Struthio camelus: one gene and its partner. The protein of the gene in region 1 interacts with the protein of each later gene in a pairwise test. Links are inferred from orthologs where the notes say so. Each region holds a gene or a part of one and is shown in the gene's direction. Other genes may lie near its edges.

Region 1 (8,058 bases):
ACCTTTTTCCAATCACTTTTTCATTCTGTTTTGCAAGCTACTTAAGCGAAGAGCTCCTCTACATCCAACTATTGCTTTCCTTTAATAATCTTAGTTATGAGGCTAGTATTATTAAACTGATATATATCCCAGGAGCAGGCATGCTCAGATATAAAAGGGCTGGATACAGCATAAACTCAAGCAGTATCAACAGTCACACTTTTATTTTGCTTTAAACAGACAATTGGTCCAAGCTGTACCAAGAGTCCCTCTAAATAATCATATTTTTGCGTTAATAGGAAAGCTGTGTTTTGACCTTTGAAGCAGCACGCTTTCTTCTTCAGAAGGCTCATATGTATCATAACTGGATACATCTAAGCGTTGCTGAGATCCAGTGTTCAGATGATATCACTCTGAACTAATTAATTGTATTCAAAAGTCTGCCCAAGTCAGAGGAAAGGGAATGCTGTGGTTGCCAGTAATAGGAAAGCTATTAGGAAACACATCCCCTGGGTCAAATCCTCCAATGCTGAACTTGCAGTCAACCAAACTTCCCTTCAAGTCAGTGGAAGTACTTTTCTAAGTAAAGAATGAATAAGATATGAAGAAGGAGAGCGAGCCAGCAATGGAGGGAGACAGTTGTCTTGTGTTTAAACATGGGAGCAGGACCAGGAAATCCTGGACTCCCCTGTCCACTGAACCAGGGAATGACTGAATGAGTCTGGGAAGATGACTTAACTCCTTGTGCCTGTGGCCTCTGATTCATGGGCAACTAAAGCAGATGTCTGCGACGGGCTGACGTGCTGTCTCCCTGCAGCCATCTGCCCTGCTGCTGCAGTGCAGCAGATGAGGGTGTATGCTCCACAGCCTGACCTGCTAATACCAGCCTGTCTTTATCAGCAGTTTATGTGTGTATGGCCGACCGTAAGCTGAGCCACCTCCTTCTAAAGGGGCAAGGACTTCTGGCAATCGCAGACAGCGACACCAAACTGCCACCGCATGATTTGCTGCCCTTGTACGCCAGAGCCCTTATTCTTTCCTGCTGGGAATGGTTGCAATATCCCTCCACTTTAGGGGAAACTGGATGTGAAATCTAACAGATTAAGATTTGTGAAGTACTTTGAAATCCTAAAATAGCAAGGGTGAAGTACTGCCTTCGCTCTTTCTCTCACATGCACAAAATGGTACCTGTTTTTCATTTTATTTTGGGGATTTCCTGCAGCAAATTATGTAGTTATTTGCTCATTGGATTTGGTTTTCAGGTCCTTGATGTATGTTAAGCAGTTTCATTTTGATGTCACTGATGATGCTGTAGTTGCAGTATGACCAAGGAAGAAGATGGCTTAGCTCATGGTAGATCAAAATCGGATGAAACACAGCTATAAAATATATGAAATCAGAAAGCAGCGTAGAGAAGATACTGATCCTTTGTTGACATCCTCTAGGGCCAGGCCCACTGCTGATGCAAAGTGACATTGCCAGCTGAAACCCTTCTTCAGAGAAGAGCTTACAGAAATGGCCCTGTTGAATAACCAGCCTGATAAATGGCTTTAACCTTGATCCAAGCCTAAGTGTGATACCAGCTGACCATCAGCTGAGAATCAGACCTGCATCTACAGTGCTCCTTTAAAAGCTCCAGCTGCTGGTGACTCTCTTTAATTCATTATCATCATACCAAAAAAATGAGCCCCTTTATGATTCAGCAAAGAATAACATTGCTGGTCTGAGATCCTGGAAGCCTAGAAACCATCAGTTTTTTTTATTTTTACTCTGAAGGAATTTCCTTTTTTAATATTGCTGTGCTGTCTACTGCCAAAGCCAGGAAGTTGACTATCTATGGACAACAGTGACCAAAATTTGGTTTTCCTGGAATTTTCTCTTTTCCCTCCGCACACCCACACAATAGGCTTTTCAGGATGCCTGCAGTCTGTAATTTGCCTTTCTAGCCTGATAATGTGGCTTGCAGAAGCACCAGTTTTGCCAAGTCATCATCTGGAAGGAACACTTTCTTATGCAACAGGCTTCATCTTCCCCCCTCCGTGTCCTATGGCCCATGGTTGCCACCAAGGCCGGCTTCAGCCGAACCACCGTGCCAACACTGGGAAATGGGAGAAAGACCATGAAGTCTGGAATAGGGCCTGAAACTTTCAATTTCAAAAGGCACAGCCCAGAAAACAGAGGGATCAAGAACCCAGCGCTGTGGTTTCCCTTTGCCTGATTAAAGAAAATAGCTGCTGTCTATTTTTACTATAAATGTGGGACATGAGGTCCTTTGCTTTCCTTGTACAAAAGGGGGGATGCTGCTCACAATGAAAGAGTGAAGGAGTGGAGCACAAGAGGTCATCCCAGATTAAAACCAGCTGCCTGGTCCACAGAAATCTCTTCCATAGATTCTTCAATTTTTTTCTTTCAAGACAGGGACAGGATTGATCTCTTCCTTTTCCTATAGGTCATTATCACCATGCTGTCTGGTATTCCCAGTGCATTCACCACAACAAATCAATGATGATGCTATCATTAAGAATACGTAGCTAGAACATGTCTCCCCAGCCAATATTCTAGCTGATTAAAGAAAGACCAGGAGAGGGAAAGACATCTAACGGGCAATGAACTATATACCTTGCAGAAAATGAAAGCCATCTGTACAAGCGTAGAAAGAGGATTCTAGTGTGTGAAATCTACTGAGTGTGTTATATATGTGACCTTTGCGTCCACTGCCATGAGTAGTATTTTGAACTTCTAAACCTCTGATCAAAAAGATTTTTTCGTTTGCAAAAAAACACCACCTGAACACAGAGAACAAAGACTTCAGTCTTGTTTTGCTTGATTATTAACTATGTATGTTTGTTCTTGATTAAAAGACTGTGTTTTTAGATGACTGAAAATACTAAAAAGTACCAAACGTGTCGAAATGGCATACACAGAAGTAACTTATATGGCAGATGACTCAGTCGCTAACTCCTTTGGGTCTTTGTTCCTTAACTCAAAATGGATATACGTGTATATACTGAGGAGTACTCCAGCAGAACTCATCAGAGATGTTCCAGTTGCGTCCCCTTTATATGACACTGCATCCCCAAAGTCCTCAATTTCTACAAATTCCTCAATTTTTACAAATTCCATTTCTCCATTCCGTTCTGAACATGAATATTCTCCCCTACGATTCCAGACGGGGATTGCTGCTATGAGTTGAATTTCGGCTTATCTCAGTCTGAGTCCCTTTATCATTCCGCAGTACACCCAGAATGGTCTTTGCCCAGTAACACGGCACTATTAAATGGAATATACTGCCCTGAGCAAAGGAGTGTTACAGGAGTGTATGTACTACTGAGATGCTTCATTTCAGATGATAAGGCAGTCAAAACTTGCAGGGAATAATGGAAAGCAGCAGAGTGAGAGAAGTAGATAATCTAGAAGGTATTTCTCACCTTGAACATTTATGATTGTAATTAATCATTTGCTTCCACTGCTGCTGCAATTGCCATAGTACAGCACCATCCCAGTGACGGATGGTCAGAGGGTTATATGGGCCAGTCACCTCATTCAGACACATTCCTTTTCACAACCTGTATGAACTTTCGTAAAAACAGACCTCCTGAGCTAAAGTTTCCTAGTATGTTTTCAATTCAATGGGGAATTTTTAAATGTGCAAACTTGAAGGCGATCCATTATCCTGGTCTTCCAATTATAGAATCTGTTGTACATTTTATAGACTGTTTTCTGGCTCTTCCTGGTCTTCTGCTGATAAAAAGCAACTGTAAGTCTTCACATCTGACACACAAGCAATCCAGAAAGTAGGAGTGATTCCATGCTCTGCTTGGAAAATAAAATATTTTGAAAAGAAGACATTAGGAAGTTTGGGGGCATGTAAGAAGTACCCTCAAGGATATTCAAAGGAGACAAGTCTGACTGAACTGAGTTGCCTAGGAAAGTCAGAACATCCCAATTTCTGTAGCCAGTAACACAAGAGAGAGCCATGCGGCCGGAATTATATTCAGTTGCCTCTAATCTCCATACCCAAAAGCAATTAGAGCAAGTAGACGTGGGCTCAGGTACCAGTCCAGAGCAAATCCTAAGCATGTACTTCTGGACCTGCAGGGAGCCACCTCAGTCCCACTGGCACCACTCTCCTTACCTGGCATCACAGAGCCAATTCTTAGTTATCGTGTCCATTAGAGCAGTACCTAGCGTTCCCATTTGAGATGCCTACTATGCTGTGGAAGTCACAGTACAAAGTTATTTGAAAGTCTGTGTTTTCCCTGAAAAATAGGAAGCGTAAACAGCTGCTCAGTACACAATTTGAAAAGGCTAGTATTTCCAAACTATTGTTAATTATTTGAAAAAGCAGCAATGCCTGACAACCCTTATCTCTGCAGACACTGAGGTTGCTATCTTCTGTGGAGCCGCACCAGTGACAGCACGAGGGTAACTTCTGGAAGCAAGCAGGCTCAGTAGGGACCTGCTTGGGGTATGCACACAGCAGATTATGTTCATAGCCTTGAAGGATTCTGGACATAAAACAAAACAAAACAAACTATAGAACTAAATAATGAAGTTGTAAAGAAGAGGTAGATGAAGATGGAAACCTTCCAGTCAGTTCCAGGACTGTCCCGTTCGGACGGGGTGGCCGTGCCCTGGGCACACAGCTGGCTCTTCTGACAGCTCGGCACCGCCTTAGGCACATGGGAGCGCCCTGAGAATAAAGGGGGTGAAAGAAGGGGTCGATGGGGGATTGCTGAGAGACGGGGCGATACCGGGGGGGGGCGGCCGGAGCCAGCCCCCCCGCGCCGCTTCCTCCACCATGGCAGCGCCCCCCCCCCCCGGCCGCCCCCACGTGCTGGCGGCGCGCCGGCGCGCCGGCTCGGGGGCGGGGCGGCCGCCCGCGTCCGGCAAGGGCGCTCCAGGGCGGCGCGCGGATTGGCGGGAGGCGGCGCGGGCCCCGCCCCCTCGGAGCGCGGCGCTGCAGTGCGGGCGGCGGGTCCCGCCCCTTCGGAGCGCGGCGACTTCCCGGCGCCCCGCAGCCGCGCAGCCGAGCCGGCGGGCGGGCTGGCTGGCTGGCTCCGCGCTGCCCGCCGCCTCGCCTCCGGCCCCGCTCCCCCGCCCCCGCCGCGGGCTCCGGGCCCATGGAGCTGCTCTGCGTGGAAGGGATCCCCCGTGTGCCCAGGGCCGAGCGGGACCCGCAGCTCCTGGGGGACCGGCGGGTGCTGCAGAACCTGCTGAGCCAGGAGGAGCGTTACAGTCCCCACGCTTCCTACTTCCACTGCGTGCAGAAGGAGATCAAGCCCCACATGCGGAAGATGCTGGCTTTTTGGATGCTCGAGGTACGGCACCCTCCCCCCCCACCCCAGCCGGGTCCCGGCTTCTTTCTCCTCTCCCGCCTCAAAATCTAGCTCTGTGTCCGGCCACCGGCTCTTTTTCTTGCCCTTTCGTCCCTGCTGCTAGTGTGAGCTATGCTGCTCCGGCAGGAGAGAGCTGGTGGCGGCGTGCTGTAAAGGAAGGGAGGGGTGACCGTCCCACGTTCACTTGGGGGGGAGGGAGCTTTCAGTGGGGTTACTTCATACAGGGGGCAAGGGACAATCCAGGGAAGAGGTCTTGGCGGCAGGAGAGCCTCTGGGATGCGTGTGTGCCGGAGGTCAGGGCTGTGGGATTTGGGGGGGGGGGGTCCTGGAGGTGGCTGCGGGGAGGCAATCTGCAGTGGGGTCTTGCTGATGCGAGGGTTGGTTGGGCCAGAAGATGTGATTCCCCCTGTGGGAGGAGCAGCCCCCCTTTAGCCCAGCAGCCTGTGTTCACCCCCCCTCCCCCCCCCAGCAATGTGCTGCCACACCATTGTTGGCTCCTCTGTTCCCACCCTGCTCTCCAAAATTTCTGGCTAGAGCGCTCTGCTGTGCACCAGAGAGTCCAGAGACTTGAGTTTCCTGAATGGGGCTGGGAGCGCTTGCTTAAAGGGGGAAAATAACATCGCTACCATTTACTTCCCTAAGTTAAAAATGAATGCAGCTCTCTGTGGGAAACAGCCCAGTGGGGGAAATCTCATGGGCCTCTTTCTGAAACGGTCAGGGTGAGCGGTCTCAATAGAAAAAAGAAATAACAGATCCTGCAGAGGACAAATGATGTTCCAATTGAGCCTGGCTCCTGCTCTCCACCCCAGCAGCTGTCGCAAGCTGCCTGATCTGTCAAAAGAAGTAATAGAGCAACTTGCTTTTTTTAAAGGTTTTTCCCTCTTATCGTTGGTCTCTTTCTGCAGTTCGCTTTCTGAGGAGGTTAGTTAGATAAGTGTTGCTTTAGAGCCTGTTCCTTGTGAAGCTCTAAAGGCAGTCTAAAAGTGAATGATACTAAGCAGTTGTCATGATTGGGCACAAAGCAAAATTGGAGGCTTGTGCTATTTAGTCGCAGCTCTGGGGCCGTATGTTTGACCCGTTAAAATCAGGCCAAATTCACCTTGAACTGTAAGACACTAGAACTTGCACCTGAAATTGACTTGTCTTTCTCTTTAAAAACTGTGGAAGAAAGGAAAATGCACAAAACAACTGCCTTGCCCTGAGGGGTTTGTTCTCTTTTTAGAAAAAGTCTCTGTCCTAGGGTTTACAGCAGTCTGTGTAAGGGAAAGGCAGAGTAACTGTTTGAAAGAGAATGGTGCTGTTTGCTGCTGTATGAGGAGAAACTCCAATATTTTTATGGTTGCATTGAAAGAAGGAAGTAAATATGACCAGGGCTTTGATACTGGTTGAGAGATTAGAACAGGGGACTGAAATGGAGAACTCCTGGATTCTGTTTATGGCTGTGGTACAGGTGTGGTTGAGAAAGAGGAGGGGGAAGAAAGACTTCTGGGCTCAGCCACGGACTCTGCCATTGATTCTTCTTGTGTCTCTGGGCCACTTGAGGTGGAATTGTCAGAAGTGACTATGGCTCCTGCATGATTAGGTCTCCAGCTGGAGACATGCTGGAAATGATAATTTTCCTTAGAGGTCCTGAGTGCCCACAGAGCAGAAAATGCACAGCTTTGCTGGTTGTCTACCTGTAGACATCCCCAACAGGGGAAAATAAAAACAGGGGCAAGTAAAAGCAATTTTGGTCTTAGCTTGTCTGTGTGTTCTAACTGCATACCACTCTTGCAGCTTTCCACAGGAAAACAAAGTCTTAAGACACTGGTCAAATTTTCTTCTAGTGTAATTCTGTTCAAGTCTAAGATTTGCACCTGCAGCTGGTTTACACCTTAGCATGGAGGTGATACATCAAAGCCCTTCAGAAATGTGTGAAACACCATCATGACCAGAAGCTTTGAAGTTGTGGTGCAGGCAGGATCCGGGGCGCCGATTAAAACTTCCTCTTTTGTTATTGGATTTTGTCAGGTGTGTGAGGAGCAGAAGTGCGAAGAAGAGGTCTTCCCCTTGGCCATGAATTATGTGGATCGCTACCTGTCTTCAGTGCCCATGCGAAAAAGTCACTTGCAGCTTCTGGGAGCTGTCTGCATGCTCCTGGCTTCCAAGCTGCGTGAGACCATGCCCCTGACAGTGGAGAAACTCTGCATTTACACAGACAACTCCATCACACCTCAGCAGCTCCTGGTAACCACCCCTGTCTCAGAGCCCTCCGTCCCCTCCCCAGCTCTTATCTTCTACATGCTGCTACTTGGCAACGTACCTGTGTTTGTATCTCCTCTGTTTCCTTTCTCTTGTTTCTCCAAACGCCTTCCACCATGTTCCCCAACCAACCTTGCTTCCTTCCCGGTGGATGTTGCTGCCTGTCATTGGAGACCACCTCATCCTGCGCAGGCCCTCGCTCCCTGGGCTGGGAAGCAGCAGCGTCGCCTCCAAGTTAGCGAGAGAGTTCCCTGCGCCTTTTAAGTGCCCGTTCCCAGCACGGAGCTGCCACGCTGGGCTCGCTCCCATGCGCTGGTTCGCTCTCGAGTGACAGCTCAGGAGAACAAAGGCCCCTGTCTGCACAGCCGGCCGAGCACGCGGCAGGGGGCTGGGGCTGCCGGCCAGCGCCTCTGCCTTGCCCCCGCTGCCGAGGACTCTGTTTCTAGGCATGACGTGGGAGTTGCGTTTCCACATCAGCAGGAAAACGAAGCATTAAGTG
Region 2 (7,010 bases), on another chromosome or scaffold:
CCATAACCGTACAGTAACAAAATCTTGAATCCTCTGTTTTTAACTAATGATTTATAATATGAAGAGTTTTTTTGTTAAAAGATACAACAAGGACTTCTGATGGATGAGCCTCTCTAAAGGTAAGTTTCAATTAACATTTTCCTGAGGAAGAATATGTGTTTTAGTTGCACATTGTCAATATTTTAAACACAAACATGTATGAGCAGGATTGCTACTAGTCAGCATAGGCTATTACTTACAGCAGCATCTTGTTGAGAACAGCAAAAATGAGACTATCTCAGCTGTTTCAGTTCACTTCCTGGTGTATTAGTGAAAATCCACTTAACGAGCAGCTTGTGCTAATTGAGCAGACTGTGATCTCAGGTGACTGGAAGATGAACAGGTTTTGTGGGTGTGTTTTTTTTTTTTTTTAGCTGCTATTGCTAGGAGGTGTGCAACTTTTAGCAGAAGGGAGCGGCGCACAGCTGGGTATTTTCAAAGCCTTGGTTTAAGGGTGGCAATTTTTTCTTTTATGAAGCAATGAAAAGCCCTTCTACCAGTAACCTGTCTGCCACTGTATTTGTTTACAGTAGAAACGCTCATGTACTTCTCTCTGTAGAAAGGCTTGCTGAAGTTTAAATATTCTGTGATTATGCAAGACAAGGACAAACGATAAATAAGATAAAAACATTTTGAGGGAGGACAAATTTTGCAAGTTGGAGTGTGTTGTGTGGTTTGGGTGTTTTTTTTTTTTTTTTTTTTTTTTAAGGGGATGCTTTGGACAAGGCAAACCCTTTTGGCCAGATTACTTGCACTGTCAGAAAAGTCAGGCAGGAAACAACTGAAGGGGTGGTTTTGTAGGGGGCCGGGTGAGAATGCTGGAGGACATTACACTTCAGGTTGCCTGCCCTGTTTTTGTAAAATAAAGCGCCCTCCTCCCCCCCCACCCCCCCAGCCGAGTAGAAGTTAGCTTTGTTGCCTTCTTGGCTTTTTGGGAGGAGGTCCTTGCAGAGATACCCATCCTGGTACAAGTAACATGTTTCTGCTTACACATTTGAAAAGGAAGAGATCAGAACAGATGATCTAGCCTATTAACTTCATTGTTTAATTAGGTAATATCTGAGAATTGTAAATGAAAACTTTTTTTTTTTGTTTAGAAGAAGAAAATCTTATTTAGCCTCTAGTAGTGATGCTAAAGCCTTGAAAATGTTGACAATATACACAGAGGAAGGGTGCTGAAATGCATTTTAACTCCAGTGGAGCGAATAAATTACATAATTTACTATTGCTGAAGATCCAGCCCGCCTGAAATGATGAACAATATTTTGTTTGTTTTATTTCAATTTTGGACCCAGTATTTTAGGAAGAATGCCCACTGAGAAAGAAATATAAAGATTAAGAAAAATTTACACAAAATAAGGTAGGCTGAAGTCTTGAGACTGAGAAGTATGTGTAAGTTGAGTATCTCCATTCAGAATTTTTATGTCCTCAAAATACTTTGACTTACACAACTTTAGGTTCAATTTAGAGTGTTGTATACTGTAATGCAAAGTAAAAGTTAGCTAACATTCAGATTTCTTTTTGAAAAATGTCCTGTTTAAAATTAATCCCTGTAGTATGTCTCTACAAAGAATTGGGGATGTTTTAAAATAAGACAGATGGAGCTTATGAGGGTTTTTGGTTTTGTTTTTGTTTTTTTTTTTGACCCTGCCTCCCTTTTGAGTTCCCACAGCAAGTAAATCACCGCACAAGAAGTGAGACAAGTACCAGTCAGAAGATCCCACCATAAGCCATAAGATCTTTCAGCAAAATGAGGGTTTGTTCTCTTACCTTTTGTCCCATTCAATCCTGAACAAGAGCTAAGAGTGCAAAATTCTCATTTGTGTTCTAGGGAGCTAATGCTGAGCCTCGCCCTTTTACTGTCACTTCTGCATGTAAGGGAGGTTGCTTTGGGTAATTCTTTGGATCCTAGTGCCAGACATAGTACTGGAATCTCTTTTCACCAAAGCTCACTAAAACTGACAGTATGTCCTCAAGCTGTCTCCAGTTCTGAGAAGTGAACAGCTTTTGATCTGGTAGCTGCTGCTGCGTCAGCTCCTCCACGTCATGCTGTGTTTGATCTCGGTTGTGCTTCTCAGCTAAAACAGGTGGTTGGAGCTCAGCCCTTTGCTCCTGCAAGGGAGTTTCTAACTCCTAGTCCTAGGAAACATAAATATACACTGCTTTCTTTTGTAATGCAGCAGCAATTTTAAGCTGGGTAAATGCAAACTCCAAGTGTCTGTTTATTCATAATGATGGGCATCATATTCTGGGTGCTGTCCTGACTGTCCAGTAAAGGCTGCCTGTCAGACCCAAAGAAGTTTTTTGCCAGTGTTCGGAAAGCTCTGCTTCTAGTTTTGGTCCTAAATGAAGTTGTTTTGGGGAGCAATTCTGCTCCCTCTGGTATCTCAGATTGTTCCTTTTCTGCTTTTTAGTGCAATGAATGTTTCTCAGAGACATGAGGGGAAGAAACATGCTCCTTTTTAAATGGAAGCTGAAATCTTCCTGTGATCATTGGTCTCCATCAGCTGAGGCTTAAAGGAAAATACTGAACTTTGCAAGGTTCCTGATGAAGTTCTGCAAATTGGTGACACAGTATCAGAAGTAGCAGAAGCCTGGCTGGGAAAAGACCCTGGGAAGAATCCTGGAAAAAGGTTTCCGTGATGCATGTTGTTTCTCCCTACACAAATCTTTCCAAGAGTTGGTCATCCTGCACCAGCAAAGTTTGACTGGTATGTAATCTGGGAGTCTGCCTTATTCTCTGGAGGTGGACAACATTAGCCACAATTTCAAGTATTTCCTTTCACAGAGGACATATTCAGTATTTTGGGTTACTACAGTGAGGGCCTGTGCCACCGCTCTGCAGCTGTTTGGCTTCAAGATTTGCTACCCATTCATTGCTTGTGTTTTGTAAGGAGACTGCGGTTTCTCACTGGAGGAACCAGTAAACAGAAGTCCTGTGGGATGAAAAAAGATTTCAGTGCCTTTCTAAAACATCTGAAAATGTTTCTTATGTAAAATTTCAATAGGCCATTAAATTAAAAGTGGCCTTATTTTAAAAGTTTACTTGAATGGTCTCATTTAGAAATCTTACATCACTTACAAAACGCGGTTGCTTAAAAACGGGAGGAGGTATGCCAGTATAACCACAGCATCGTCACCTTATCCCTAACCTAGATTTTGCTTATCTTTTAATATTTTGGGATTTTATTATTTAGATGAAAAAAAGTGATTTTGAAAGAGTAGATTAGTATGTATCCCAATAGAACGCAGAATACTGTGACAAATTATAGTTGCTTCTTTAGAAGAACAGTGTAAATGGCGGTTGGCATAGGCCCTAACGGACCACCAGCCGGCGCTGCCCCTCCAGGCCTCGCCCTAGCCCCTGTTTTCTGGCGCCACCTGGTGCTTTCAGAGCGGACTGCAACCGTGCGTCCCCGCCCGGGCGAACGCTTCAGGGTTACGCCAATCCCGCGGCCGTTTCCCCCCGAGGCTCCCGCTGCTGTTGGCGGTGAAGCAGCCGTCGTGCGGAGCCCGGGGCCGCAGCGGAGCGCCTCCGCCATGCTCCCTCCCCCGCCCTCTTCCGCCGCCGCCTAACCTTGTCCCTCCGCAGCCGCCGCCGCCGCCGGAAGTGACCTCGCGCGCTCCGACGCGGTGGCGTCACGAAGAGCACGGTGCTTCCCCGCTGCATGCTGGGAGCGGGAGGAGGAGGAGGGCGGGAGGGGGCTGCCGCGCGGCATTGCGGGAGGGGAAGTCTGTGGCGTCGCCGGGGCGCGCCTGCGCGCACCGGGAGCGCGGATAGGTTGGGCGCCCGCAAGCCGTCCAATGGGAGGGCGAGGCGCGGCGGAGGGCGGGAGCGGGGCCCAGCGCCGGGGCGTTTGGATTCGAACGCGCGTCGCCAGCCGGCGGGGCGGCGGCGCAGGCGCAGTGGGCGGCGCGGCGGGGCGGGGCGGCGCTGCCCCCTAGCGCCGGGGCGGGGGATGCCGGGCGAGGAGGAGGACGAGGCCGAGGCGGCGGGCGGGGGCGGCCCCCCCCACCCCGCCGCCGCCGCCGCCCCGTCCCCGCCGGCCGAGGAGGGCGACACGCGGCAGCGCTACGAGGAGCTCTGCAGCAGCCTCAACATGGACGAGCGCGCCCGCTCCGAGGCCTGGCTCAGCTACCAGAGCATGAAGCGCAACTACACGCTGGAGGTGAGGGGGCGGCGGCCCTCGCGGCGCCCCTCCCCCCGCGGCCGTTGGAAAACGAACCCGGGGCTCGCGAGCGCCGGACAGCGGCTGGGAGCCGGCGCGGGGCCGCGCCGGGACACGGTGTGGGGAGGGGGGGTTGTTTTATTAACGGAAAAGCAAACGCTGATGGCGAGCCGTGCTGGAGTTACGTAACTCTCGCGCGAGCAAGCGGAGGGGTTAGCGTTAGCACCTCGGCTGGTACTAACTGCAGTCCCGGAGCTGCTCAGCACCGCCAAGGGCCCCGGGGCGCGGGGGTCCTGCGGCCGAGGCAGGGCAGGTTTCGCTCGCCTTGGCGGCCGTTTGCCCTGCGGTGCCGGGCGCTGCGCGCACCTGCCCCAGGGAGGAAGCGGCCCGGCCGCAGCGCACCTCTGCCCCGCTGCTCTTGATCGTCGGCTGCTGAGAAGCTCGGAAGGGGCGGCCTCTCGGGGGGTCTGCGCACGCTTGTGCCCGCGGTAGCAGGCGGCCCGGGAAACCGCAGCCGTCGCCGCCTTCTCTGCCCCCTTCCTGTCGTTCGCCTCCCCTTTAAACGTTGCAGTTTAGTCAAAGAGGCATAGTTACGGTTGGAATTAATTTCCGTCTTTAGGAATCGCATCGAGTAGTTATTAAGCCGCATAACAGAAAAACGGAAACTGTCTTTTCCTATTCCCCTGTTGCGTCCAGGGAAGAAGGTTTTGATAGTGAGCAACTGCTGCGATTGTAACGCCGAGGCAGCGCAGGAGACGAGCAGTGCTGAAAAGAAAGCATGCTGTTAAACTTCGGCTCGCTGTGAAACTTATTAACGTAACTTGTAGTTGATACGTTTCTGTTTTGACGTAATTCAGTGTTAGCATCTGCTTTTCTTATCGTTCCGGCTTCTTAGATGGTCCTGTCTAGCAGTACCGTTAAATAGAGCTTTGAGGTAATGCATCACTCTGCTGTTGCTTGAACATTGTTAGCGGAGAGTGTAATCAGTTTTATTCTTTTTCTTCGTGCTGGGTGCATAGCTGAAGAGTGTGTTTTTCGTTTTGATCGAGTCTTTTCGATGCCTGATGTTTCATTTCACAGGGAAACGATCTGCATTGGCTAGCGTGTGCCTTGTATGTGGCTTGCAGAAAAGCAATTCCAACTGTGAGCAGAGGGACAGTTGAGGGGAATTATGTGTCCTTAACCCGAATTTTGCGCTGTTCAGAACAAAGGTAACTTTTTTTTTTTGCTGGTTTTTGGAATTTTTAAAATCTTAATCGCTGTGTATCGACTTGAAAAATTTAGAAATTGAGAGGAAAGACTGAACATCATTCTTGTTTCCTGCTTTTATATGTAGAATTTATACAATCAGAATGTTTGTGCTATAGCTCATTGCCACAGATGTGGGATAGCTTCGTTTGGGCATTAGTACCTAGCAAAAACACTGATTTTTTCAAATTCAGAGATTGCCCTCCCACTCTCAAAGGGAGGCAGAAACCAACTTCTGGTTTTGAAGAAGGTGCAGCAGGTGAGCTTGCCTGTTCAAAAGCCTAACGTCTGCATGCGTGTTCTGCTTAGAACAAGGTCTAATACACTAACATCAGAAAGCATTTTTTAATTGACTGTGCAGACATTCACACGTTTTCGGTTTTGTGGAAGAAGACTTCACTTTTCATGCGTTCTTACTTTACGAAGAGAAAGTGATATCAGAATCTGATAAACACATTTTTATCAAATGTTTATTTCTGTAAAGTCATGAAGAAAAACTTCATGAAATAATTGACTTTATGTATCAGCAGTATGGTGGTTTTATAACAATTACATGGACTGGCAAATAAATGAGCATTAGTTATGCACTTTCTCTCCCATTCTCGTTTTCTGTTGGATATATTTAAACAAAGCAAAGGAGTTTCTTTAAAAAAGCTTTTTCAAATCAGAAATGCAGGGAGCTGAATATGGGCTGTAAAAGACTAACAACATTGAAAAAGTAGGTGTACAAAAAACAGTGCAAAAATTAATGAAAGTTGAATTTATGAAATGAAATTTATTGAAACACATATAAAAATGTTTTACTCGCTTTTTTTTTTCATACTTTTAGAGGTATTCTTAGCGTTGAAGAGATCGGAGTTTGTTTTTATTTAAGCAGATGAGTTATTCAGAAAAATGAGAAAAACTTGATTTTATAGTAATCTGAATACTGGAGTTGATTGCACTTGTGTGAGGAAAAACCAATAAAGAACTGTAAATACATATAGTTAACACGATCATCAACAGATACCGAAATATTTTTCGAGTTGTCTGAGCACGGTCTTGTTTGGATGAAGGACTGGCTTTGAGTACGTCGAACTATAGTTATTGTCATGCTTGTTTGCAACGCTGCCATTTTATCAGTAGTTTAGGAAGTAAACTATTTCCTAAAATTGTACTTTTAAATTTTATTTACTTACATCAAAATATCTTTCTCCAGAAATTAACTCTCAGTTTCAACCTGTTCGATATTTCAGCTTGATTGAGTTTTTTAACAAGATGAAGAAATGGGAAGACATGGCAAATCTACCCTCCCAATTCAGAGAACGAACTGAGAGACTGGAGAGAAACTTTACAGTTTCTGCTGTAATCTTTAAGAAGTATGAGCCCATTTTTCAGGATATTTTCAGGTATCCTCAAGAAGATCAGCCTCGTCAACAGAGAGGAAGGAAACAGAGGTAGTTTTCTGTTATTTTCGGACTTAATTTAGAGCATTGCTACTACTAAGATGCAATGAAGTTGCTTAGTTACTTTATTTTTAGCTGCGTTTCCATGGGAGTTCTTTATGGTATCAGA

What was found. The genes of interacting proteins can lie anywhere in the genome.
Region 2: the proteins of CCND3 (region 1) and RBL2 interact in a two-hybrid assay, tested with the Homo sapiens proteins (2 studies listed by BioGRID). The link is inferred for Struthio camelus from reciprocal best matches to the Homo sapiens genes CCND3 and RBL2.

Annotation. Positions count from the first base shown.
Region 1 is NC_090965.1:6,406,193-6,414,250, reverse strand, and holds the start of CCND3 (G1/S-specific cyclin-D3), read left to right. Parts: upstream 1-4,983; 5' UTR 4,984-5,102; coding exon 5,103-5,300; intron 5,301-7,328; coding exon 7,329-7,544; intron 7,545-8,058. UniProt on the Homo sapiens protein: Regulatory component of the cyclin D3-CDK4 (DC) complex that phosphorylates and inhibits members of the retinoblastoma (RB) protein family including RB1 and regulates the cell-cycle during G(1)/S transition.
Region 2 is NC_090951.1:18,704,354-18,711,363, forward strand, and holds the start of RBL2 (retinoblastoma-like protein 2), read left to right. Parts: upstream 1-3,998; coding exon 3,999-4,208; intron 4,209-5,288; coding exon 5,289-5,419; intron 5,420-6,691; coding exon 6,692-6,892; intron 6,893-7,010. UniProt on the Homo sapiens protein: Key regulator of entry into cell division. Directly involved in heterochromatin formation by maintaining overall chromatin structure and, in particular, that of constitutive heterochromatin by stabilizing histone methylation.